Ovis aries: one gene and its partner. The protein of the gene in region 1 binds, or shares a complex with, the protein of each later gene. Links are inferred from orthologs where the notes say so. Each region holds a gene or a part of one and is shown in the gene's direction. Other genes may lie near its edges.

Evidence for each region. Proteins that work in one complex are often made in the same cells at the same time.
Region 2: OSGEP (region 1) and GON7 share a complex: the UniProt entries of both Homo sapiens proteins name them as parts of the EKC/KEOPS complex. The link is inferred for Ovis aries from reciprocal best matches to the Homo sapiens genes OSGEP and GON7.

What each region holds. Positions count from the first base shown.
Region 1 is NC_056060.1:24,949,260-24,954,682, forward strand, and holds the start of OSGEP (tRNA N6-adenosine threonylcarbamoyltransferase), read left to right. Parts: upstream 1-1,748; 5' UTR 1,749-1,923; coding exon 1,924-2,038; intron 2,039-3,435; coding exon 3,436-3,555; intron 3,556-3,735; coding exon 3,736-3,911; intron 3,912-5,423. Other genes in the region: APEX1 (DNA-(apurinic or apyrimidinic site) endonuclease), read right to left, coding at 471-658, 892-949. UniProt on the Homo sapiens protein: Component of the EKC/KEOPS complex that is required for the formation of a threonylcarbamoyl group on adenosine at position 37 (t(6)A37) in tRNAs that read codons beginning with adenine.
Region 2 is NC_056071.1:55,648,210-55,653,818, reverse strand, and holds the start of GON7 (EKC/KEOPS complex subunit GON7), read left to right. Parts: upstream 1-2,077; 5' UTR 2,078-2,134; coding exon 2,135-2,342; intron 2,343-5,609. Other genes in the region: putative E3 ubiquitin-protein ligase UBR7, read right to left, coding at 1,731-1,880. UniProt on the Homo sapiens protein: Component of the EKC/KEOPS complex that is required for the formation of a threonylcarbamoyl group on adenosine at position 37 (t(6)A37) in tRNAs that read codons beginning with adenine.

The sequences.
Region 1 (5,423 bases):
GTATTATCAATTCAGCAGCCATTTACTGAAAAATCTATATGCAAAGTACTAGAAATATACAGATGAGACACAGTCTCTGCAGAAATAACATCTAGCAGCATAATATTAAAACTTAAGGGCAGAAAGGCAAGAACAGTGTGACATGCAACACGGAGGAATTGTTTTCCCCAAAAGGCCCTGGATAGCCAGCTAAGATTTTTAAGCGGTAGTTATTTAAATGTTGGCTATGCAAGAAATAAAATGGAGCAAGTCCAGTAAGGAGGTTTTCCCAACATGCCAGGAAAGAGATGAGGACATTATAAATAAGAAAATGGCACTGGAAATGTTGAAATGGCATTTGAAAAATAACAAGGTTTTTCGGGTGAAAACCTAGTACCTTTCCCACAAGAAAACTATCGTGCTAGGGACTAAGATGGAAAAAGATGATTAAACCCTAAGATCAGCCTCTGCACCCCCTTAATTCCACTCACATCTAAACCTTTCTTCTTAATCCAGGCTCGAAGCCCATCCACATTCCACGAGCAGATCTTGAGTGTGGCTGATTTGCCACTGGGTGAGGTTTTCTGATCTGGGGGGTCTTCATACAGAACTGCGCCCTCTCCTACTGCCTCTTTTTCGTTCTTTTTCGCTCCTGCCTTACTCTTCTTCGCCTCTGGCTCTATAAAATAAGTAATACATAATGGGATATAAGTTGGCGGTATCCAACTTTGATCCAGAGTAAACTATAGACCCACTAAGAGCCTGCAGCTGCCGCGACTTCTTCATAAATGAGAATACTGTCGGTGTCGGTCTGGACTTTCCGTTCAACGGTCCGTACTTCCCGTTCAACTAGGTAATTATAGACATCCCCATCGCCGCCTCTGGGGAGAGGGGCCCATTTCATTCTCTTACCAGTCTTGGGCTCTTCCGCGTCTTCGACCACCGCTCCCTTTTTCCCACGTTTCGGCATCACTGTAATGTAGGCCCTTCTGCACCAGTTCCACTTCGCCCACTGAAGCAGTATTTTGATCGCGTTGCCTACAAGTGCAAAGAAGTCGTGAAACCAGCTAGAGCAGAAGACTCCACCCTCAACGCCCACGTACCAAGTACCGCCTTTGAAACTGTATTATCTCTGAATTCTTTCCCCGCCTCCGTGCACCATCAGCCTTTCAGCCCCTCACCCCTCAGACTAGATCATTTCATCGTGTCTTATACACTTCTCGCGAGATCCGCCCTCCGGCCAAATGAGGGACTTAATTGAGAGTCCCGACCTAGCCTTGCGAATCAGACGTCCAGAGAAGCTGCTAAGATGGGCAAAACAACACAAACCCTTCAGCTGACCTGCTTCGGCCCCTGTCTGCCTCCTCCTTAACCCAGCACAAAGAATGGAGCACGCCGTGCCCCACGTGGGTAACTGGCGTGGTCACGTGATTTGAGATGCTCATCCAGGGGTGGAGGAATACGGGTCATTGGTCTAGTTGTACCACGTGACTCAAAAGCTTCCCGCCCTTCTGGACTCCGGGACACTGAAGGCCCCACCCTCCATTCTTGGACTGTTTATCAATATGCCGGATTCACAACTCTTTCTGCCACCCTGACTAGAGATCCCAAAGCTGTGTAAGAGAGAACAAAATCAGTGGAAAAGGCTGGGCTGGACTATCGGAGAGAAGCAGAGGAACGGATAGGAATTTAAGGAGCAGACGCCGGCTCAGCGTTCCCGGCAGTTAAGCGAACAGGCCCTCGAAGGGGTCTTGATGGGTCGTCGTAACGACAGAGATTGGGACCGGCGCTGGCGCGCTACGTACGGGAATATTTTGGTAGTTGTTGTTCTGGTTGGCGCGGCTGCTTAGCAGCCACTGGCTCATCCTCCTACTCTGCGACCCGGAGTCTGCGTCCCAGCGCGGACTGGTGAGGGCTCCTTGGCTCCAGTGCTAGCTCGGAGCCATGCCGGCGGTGCTGGGTTTGGAAGGCAGCGCCAACAAGATTGGCGTGGGAGTGGTACGGGATGGCAAAGTACTGGCGAATCCGCGGCGGACTTACGTCACGCCTCCCGGCACAGGTGAGGATTTGCGGATTTGTAACTCGTGGCGCAATTTTCCGCACAGCATCCCCTGCCGTCTTTCTAAACGTTGGTGAAGAGTGCGCATTGTGTCTCATAATTTTTGATCCTAGTTTCTGAGATTATGTAACGGTAAAAGGGCTTCCCAGTTGGCTCAGTGGTAAAGAATCTGCCTGCAGTACAGGAGACTTGAGTTCGATCCGTGGGTCGAGATCCTCTGGGGAACGGAATGGCAACCCACCCCAGTATTCTTGCCTGGAGAATCCTATTGACGGAGGAGTCTAATGGATTACAGTCCATGAGTTGGACAAGACTAAGCACGCACACACATTATCCCGAAGCTGATGGGTAGAAGAGTTACAGGCACTTGAAACTGGATCTTCTGAGTTGTTCAGCCTATACTGACCACCTTTTATGTGCTAATTATCGGCTGCCCTTAGAATATTCGGTAGTTGTTTTTGGACTTCTGTACTTTGTTCTTAAAATGGGAATGATATTACCTGCGTCATTTGGTCTGGAGAGTTAAAGTATCGGATACACTGACAACTTTCCGTAAATGTTATTTCTAAGCTCTGTTGTCTTTGCTACCTTTCCCCCAAACACCTCCTTCCATAGGAGAGGGCAGCAGGCTTGTGTATACCTGAAAAGCCTCCCTGAACAGGTGATGTTGTAACAGGTTACTCGTTAGAAATGGATATATATGTTTAGCACTCAAGCTTCTCGGCATTTGGCACCAAGCTGCAAAGTCGCTTCAGTCGTGTCCGACTCTGCGTGACCCCATAGACGGCAGCCCACCCCCCCGTCCCTGGGATTCTGCAGGCAAGAACACTGGAGTGGGTTGCCATTTCCTTCTCCAATGCATGAAAGTGAAAAGCGAAAGTGAAGTCGCTCAGTCGTATCCGACTCTTAGTGACCCCATGGACTGCAGCCTACCAGGCTCCTCCGTCCGGAGGATTTTCCAGGCAAGAGTACTGCAGTGGGGTGCCATTGCCTTCATTGGCACCAAGAATGTGAAGATAAAACAGGCAGTGCTTTGAGATGCTCATGGTTAAGCTGGGAAAAGTACCGATTAACTATAATGCTGTAATTGTTACATGTTACATATAGTATGTTAATATAAATGATGTTACCATGCACAGTGTTTGTAGAGTCACAGGGCATCACCAAAAAGTATGAGATAGGTATCATTGAGTCCTGAATAGGAGTTAGTTATGAAGAAGGGCATTGCTCAGAGCTGTTTAGCTTAGCTGAACAGGCTGAAAAGACTATATCTGAAGACAGGATGTTTGAGGAAAAGGGAGGGGACTCTTCCTACCCTACTGAAATGTCTGTTTTGACTTCTAGGTGCCTTTCTGTAGGAAAATTCTTAGGATCTCTGACTTGTGTCCGTCTCCTAGGATTCCTTCCAGGTGATACTGCTAGGCACCACCGAGCTGTTATCCTGGACCTGCTGCAGGAGGCACTAACAGAGGCTGGATTAACCTCTGAGGATATTGATTGCATCGCATACACCAAAGGTATAGCTAGAAGTGTGCACAGCAGTGGAAGAATATACCTGGAACCCAGCTAGGTCAAAATAGTCTGCACCTCACCTTTGAAACCACCACTACATCCGCTGTACCTTCACATCCCCCGCTTCCCTCAACTCTGTTTTTCCCAATCTCTATAGGATTCTAAGCCCTATTCTGTCCCCATAGGTCCTGGCATGGGTGCCCCACTGGTTTCTGTGGCTGTTGTGGCCCGTACTGTGGCCCAGTTATGGAATAAGCCATTGCTGGGTGTTAACCACTGTATAGGTCACATTGAGATGGGCCGCCTCATCACTGGAGCCACCAACCCAACTGTGCTGTATGTCAGTGGAGGAAATACACAGGTATTTAGAATTCTTCACGGTTCTTTTTTTTTTTTTCCCCTCAGATTTTTGGGTATTTTTAATAACTGAAACAAAACAGATCTAAAACCACAGCTTCTAGAAGAACCATCTGTTCTTGCTGGTTTTGTATCTTTCCTCAAACTTGACCTTGACCTCTTGTTGGGATGCACATTTAAGAGCAGGGTATCTGAAGACATTCTCCTTGGCCACAGTTTTTTCCAAGGGGATACCTACAGAGTACCTTGTGGGCTTGAAGTGGTATACTTCAAGTTACAAACTTTCACAAAAGACTTGCTCTCTGACCTCCTGGCAGTTTTCTTCTTGCCCATGGTAGCTTTCACTTTGTACCTTGCTAGCAAGGTAGCAAGATCATAGGTGTTCATGATGACTGGCCAGGGGCATCACCACCTCCCAGGTTTCATGAACTTGGCCATTTTGACAGAAGCCATTCAGGACTACAGCAGAAGAGTTCCACCAGTCCTTCTTAATTTCTGAGGCACTGTGCTAGCAACTTTCACTTTCTGCCTGAGTGGTAGGAAAACTGGGCTCATCTGAAGCTAAAAAGTGATACACTGGAACATTGGATGACCTTTATACGTGGCTATCGAGATGAGGAATTTCCAGCTTAGAGAAGGAAAAAATAGTAAGGATTGAAGTGTTTAAGGATTTTTATTTTCATTATTTTGAAGCTTATTTTTCCTATGAATGTTAGCAATTAAAATTAAGGGGCACTTGGCAGTCCAGTGGTTAAGACTCTGCTTTCAGTGCCAGGGGCACGGGTTCTATCCCTTGTCAGGGGACTGAGATCCTACATGCCTCAAGGTGCAGCCAGAAAAATTTTTTTTAAAAAAAAGAAACTAAAGGGTACTATCTCATTTGTTTCTTTACAACATTTGTTTTGTTTTAGTTACTGATGGTAAATATATAGGTTTGTTTTTTTTTTAAGAGTGAAAATGTAAGTAATTTAAATAACATTTTATGAATGGTGGAAGATGTTTTAAATTTATAGATGAAGCCAGAGTTGTTTGGGATACCTTACAAGATCTTTTTAAGTTGAGATGGGAGAACTCTAGCCTTCCTTTTCCACCTAACACCTGATGGGATTATTGTCCAGACTGATTCCTCTCTCCTGAAAGGATTATATTCCAAAAGTTCATTTTGTGAAATAGTTATTAAAGATGAAGCATGCATTTCTATGAAAATGACGTGAGAACTTTAATGGGTAGAGAACAAGTAATTGGTTGAGGCCTGAAGGATATTTATTGTACAAGGTTAGAAACTTAGGGTGTGGAAAGTAACAGTGGAAGCTTACAAGATTTACTTGAGATGAGCAGTGATGGAATTTTCTCTTTTCCTCTTTCCCTTTAAAGCCTGCTTAGGTGTGAAAAACAAGATGATTGACTACAGAATTTTTCTTTATGCTTTTGTTTCCAACCTTTTATCAGTAGAGTAAGGGCTACATCAGAATGGAAGAAAATCCCTAGCAGCACCAGAAAGGGAAAGGGACTTAAC
Region 2 (5,609 bases), on another chromosome or scaffold:
ACAATAGAATACCAAAACACTGTTGCAGGTTTCATACACGTTTCATATAACTTTTTCTCAAAGTGATAGAAGTTAACATTTTTAGTCAGCTGTGAATAAACCGGTCTGCTTAACTATTTTAACACATGAAAATACAGGAGAATGTGTGTAAGCTTATGTAAGGAATAATCATACTTTAATTTTGGAAAATGCTTGTGATTCCACCAAAGAGAAAACCAGTGCATTAAATGAATCCCTTTGATTTTAAGATGTATGCTGACATATTTAGAGTTGAAGTGTCATGGTCTGAAATTTATTTTCAACTGGTTCAGGAAACAAAAACAAAGTATATTACAGTGAAGAAGTAAAAGATAAAACAAATGTGGTAAAATATTAAAAAGTGAATATATGTGAAGGTACACAGGTGTTCATAATATTATTTTTTCATTTTAACTGTAGACTTTAAACATTTCAAAATAAAAAGTCGAGAGAAAAGCAAATCCTGATAATGGCTGCCATCTTCTGAGAAGAAGGGAGTCCCAGGAAAGCTTCTGTGATGCTGGTAATGTTCTATTTCTTGATCTGTGTGGTATGTACCTGCAGGTGTTTTCAGTTTTGCTTTCCCAAGACTTATACATGGTTTCTGCACTTTTCCACATATTTTACAACAATACAAAAAAATTTTTTAAGGAAGTCTGTTTTAAAAATCTAACTACGTTTCAAAAATAACTTACAGGCTTTTTTAAAAAAGGCAAACAGAGAAAAAGTTGTTCCAGTGGCGACCAAAGGTTTTAAAATATCAGCCAACATTAAATACCTCTGAAGCCAGGTGTATTAAAAAAAAAAAAATCTAACCACTTTGCAGTGTAAACTCAACTGGTCATTGATAACAACTGGTATTGTGATCTCAAGCAACACCACGTAAAGACCCCATGTCTCTCTCCCCATCCTGCAATGTTCCACTCCACCTGCCTGGAAGATAACCTTCTTCCTATCAAGTACCATCTCTCATTAGTTTTCTTCTACCACCTTTCTCCATTTTTGAACCTAGAAACATAGAATGAGTCACCAAACACTACGTCACACCCCCTCCAGTCCTTGTTCCCACCATCTTCCGAATGCCATCTCTCCTCCCCTCCTTTCCTTTGCCAGTGCCACCAGCTGTTCGGGTTCCGGTCTATGCCCCTGGAGGGCCGACTGCAGAGAGACGTGGTACTTGCTTCCTCTCGCCAAAAAAAAAAACCAGCTAGCACCTGTCAAACTAAACTGCAGAGGAACCAGCTGTCCAGGAGTCCAGCCTACGCGGAGAGATTTTCAAACCCAGAGCTCTCTCCTTTAATTATTTGACTCTTCCGTTTAGTACCCAGCAAATACTCTGAGGATGGGAAAAGTATGGACAAAGATACTCAGGATGTGAAAGGTCACGGGGTTGGTTTGGTGAAAAGCGGCCGGGGCACAGAGAAGAGACGAGGAAGGAAGGAAAGAGCAGCTGCTCTGGGGCCAAAACCGTAGAAACGTCGGGGGCCTGACAGAGGAAAATCGAGAAAGGAGGGGCGTCCTGCTGGCCACAGGTTAGAAGGGGCTCAGAAGACTAAGTGTAAAAGGGCACCTGGGCCTGGGATGGGGAAGCCTACGACCAACAGCTGCGCTGGACCACCACAGGGGGCCGGCCGCGGCCGGCGGGAAGAGAGAGGGTAAGGCGGTGGGGAAAGGGAGGTTCAGCGGAGGCGAGGGCCGAGCCGCGCGCCCACCTGCGAGTAGGAGCACTTCTCCGAGTCACTGCCGCCCAGGACGGCGCAAGCCTCATTCTCCAGCTCCTCGTCCTCCTCCAGTACATCGACCAACGATACCACGGGCTCCAACTCCGACTGTCGCCCAGCTGGCTCCTCAGCTCCAGCCATCCTCAACTGTCACCAGGACCGCCGACCGGCCCCGGCGGAGGCGGGAAAAGCGTCCGCGAGGGGCGGGGCCGGAGGAGGCGGGGCCTCGGTGCCAGACACCAATCCCAAAGACAGGGAGCGAAGGAAGGGGGAGGAGCGACTTCCGACAAACGGAAGTCAGGCCTCTCCCTTCTCCGCGCCTGCGCCCGCGGCGGGCTGGTTTCCGTTTCCGGTGGCGACTCACTGTGGCGCGCTCCTGAAGCGTAGCGGTCGCTATGGAGCTGTTGGGCGAGTACGTCGGACTGGAAGGGCAGCGACAGCAGCTGCGGGTGCCTTGTGAGGCGCCGGGCGTCACCGACCCTTTCCAGAGCTTGTTGTCCGGTGTGGCTCAGATGAGGGAGCTGGTGACTGAGCTCTTCGGCTCTCAGGTACAGCCGGAAGCACAGGACCGGGGGACGGCGGCTCCCGACGAGGCCTTGGACGGTGAGCTTTGAGACGGTTCAGCGAGTGACAGGAGGGCGGGCAGGGGCGCCCGGAGAAATTTGGGCTGTACCTGGACTCGTTTAGCAGGACTGCTTTTGACGATTCTCTTTTCATTTATGTCACACAAAAAACGTACTGAACGCCTACGGCCCTGTGCCAGTCACTGGGCTGAACTCTGGAGAAAGAATGACGTGAATGCGACTCAGTTCCTGTTCTTGTGGAACTCTGTGGGAGGTTAGACAGACAAACATTCTTATTAAAGAGTAGAAGGAATGACCCTAGGCTTCTTTGTAACTATTGCAAACCTAGAGAACCCAAGAAGGCTTCAGAAAGAGCATGACTTCTAAGCTGGGCTTAGAAGGATGGAAAGGAATTTTCCCAGGCGTGAACTTACAAATATGTTTGGAAGACCGCCATCTATTACAGAATAGAAACAGGTTCTGAAGATTGGAATAGATTTCAGATGAACAAGGCTTCACTGTCAGGGACTCCTTTCATTTCCCAGTGTGGTAGGTGCAGTTTGAAAGCAGAAATGGAAATTTTAACTGTATTCTTAAGTCTTGTCTTGAATACCCTGAGCTGAAGAACCTAAGAACTAAATATTGGAATCAGGGCTTACTTCCCCTATTGTTGTTGTTGAGGTTCAGTCGCTCAGTTGTGTCCAACTCTGCAACTCCATGGACTGTAGCACACCAGGCTCCTCTGTCCTTCTCTGTCTCCCAGAGCTTGCTCAAATTCAGGTACATTTAAACTGCAGTGCCATCCAGCCATCTCATCCTTTGTCTCCCCCTTCTCCATCTGCCCTCAATCTTTCCTAGCATCAGTCTTTTCCAGTGAGTCAGCTCTTTGCCTCAGATGGCCAAATTATTGGAGCTTCAGCTTCAGCATCAGTCCACCCAATGAATATTCAGGGTTGATTTCCTTTAGGATTAACATTTCATCTCCTTGCCTTCCAAGGGACCCTCAAGAGTCTTCTCCAGTACCACAGTTCAAAAGCATCAATTCTTCAGCACTCAGCCTTCTTTATGGACCAACTCTCACATCTGTACATGACTACTGAAAAAACCATAGCTTTGACTATACAGACCTTTGTCGTCAGAGTGATGTCTCTGCTTTTAATACACTGTCTAGGTTTGTCATAGCTTTCCTTCCAAGGATCAAGTGTCTTTTAATTTCGTGGCTACAGTCACTGTCTGCAGTGATTTTGGAGCCCAAGAAAATAAAATCTGTCACTGCTTCCACTTTTTCCCCTTCTATTTGTCATGAAGTGATGGGACCGGGTGCCATCTTCTTTGTCTTTGAATGTTGAGTTTTAAGCCAGCTTCTTCACTCTCCTCTTTCAGCTTCATCAAGAGGTTCTTTAGTTGCTCTTCACTTTCTGCCATTAAGGTGGTATTATCTGTGTATCTGATGTTTTTGATACTTCTCCTGGCACTCTTGATTCCAGCTTGTGCTTCATCCAGCTTGGAATAAGCAGAGTGACAATATACAGCTTTGATGTACTCCTTTCCCAATTTTGAACAAGTTTGTTGTTTCCTGCCTGGTTCTAACTGTTGTTTCTTGACCTGCATACGGTTTGGGGATTGGAATAAAAACTGACCTTTTCCAGTCCTCTGGCCGCTGCTGAGTTTTCCAAATTTGCTGACATATCAAACAGCATCATCTTTTAAGATTCTAAATAGCTCAGCTGGAGTTCTATCACCTCCATTAGGTTTGTTCATAGTCCTAAGGTCCACTTGACTTCAGACTCCAGGATATCCAGCTCTAGGTGAGTGACCACACCATTGTGGTTATCCGTGTCATTAAGACTTCTTGTATAGTTCTTCTGTGTAGTCTTGCCACCTCTTAATTTCTTCTGCTTCTGTTAGGTCCTTACCATTTCTGTCCTTTTATCATGCCTGTCTTTGCATGAAATGTTCCCTTGGTGTCTCCAATTTTCTTGAAGAGATCTGTCTTTCCCATTCTATTATTTTCTGTTTCTTTGCATTGTTCATTAAGAAGGCCTTCTTATCTCTCCTTAATATTCTTTGGAACTCTGCATTCAGAAGGGTATATCTTTCTCTTTCTCCCTTGCTTTTCACCTCTCTTCTTTCCTCAGCTCTTTGTAAAGCCTCCTTGGACAACCAATTTACCTTCTTGCATTTCTTTTACTTTGGATTGGTTTTGGTCACTGCCTACTGCACAGTGTTACAAACCTCCATCCATAGTTCTTCAGGCACTCTGTCTGCAAATCTAATTCCCTGAATCTATTTGTCACCTCCACTGTATAATCATAAGGGATTTTATTTAGGTCATACTTGAATGGCCTAGTGATTTTCCCCTACTTTCTTCCATTTAAACATGAATTTTATAATAAGGAGTTCATGATATGAGCCACAGTCAGCTCCAGATCATGACTATGTGGAACTTCTCCATCTTAAGTTGCAAAGAACATAATCAGTCTGATTTCAGTATTGACCAGATAGTGATGTCCATGTGTAGAGGCGTCTCTTGGGTCATTGGAAAAAGGCGTTTGCTACGACCAGCGTGTTCTCTTGACAATACTCTTAACCTTTGCCCTGCTTCATTTTTGTACTCCAAGGCCAAACTTACCTGTTTCTCCAGGTATCTCTTGACTTCCTGCTTTTGCATTCCAGTCCCCTATGATGAAAAGGACATCATTTTTGGTATTAGTTCTAGAAGTTGTAGGTCTTCATACAACCAGTTAACTTTAGTTTCTTCAGCATCAGTGGTTGAGACATCGACTTGGATTACCGTGATGTTGACTGGTTTGCCTTGGAAACGAACCGAGATCATTCTTTCGTTTTTGAGATTGCACCCAAGTACTGTATTTCAGACTCTTTTGTTGACCATGAGGGCTACTTCATTTCTTTCCAAAGGATTCTTGACCACTGTAGTAGATACAATGGTTATCTGAATTAAATTCGCCCATTCCTGTCCATCTTAGTTCACTGATTCCTAAGATGTTGATGTTCACTCCTATCATTTCCTTCTTGACTGTGTCCAGTTTACCTTCCAAACATTCTTGGTTTCTATGCAATATTGTTCTTTACAACATCAGACTTTACTTTCACCACCAGACACATCCATGACTGAGCATCATTCCTGCTTTACCCCAGCTGCTTCATTTTTCTGGGGTTATTAGTAATTGCCCTCTGCTCTTCCCCAGTAGCATATTGGACACCTTCCAACCTGGGGGCTCATCTTCTAGCGTCATCTTTTTGCCTTTTCATGTTGTCCATGGGGTTCTCTAGGCAAGAATACTGG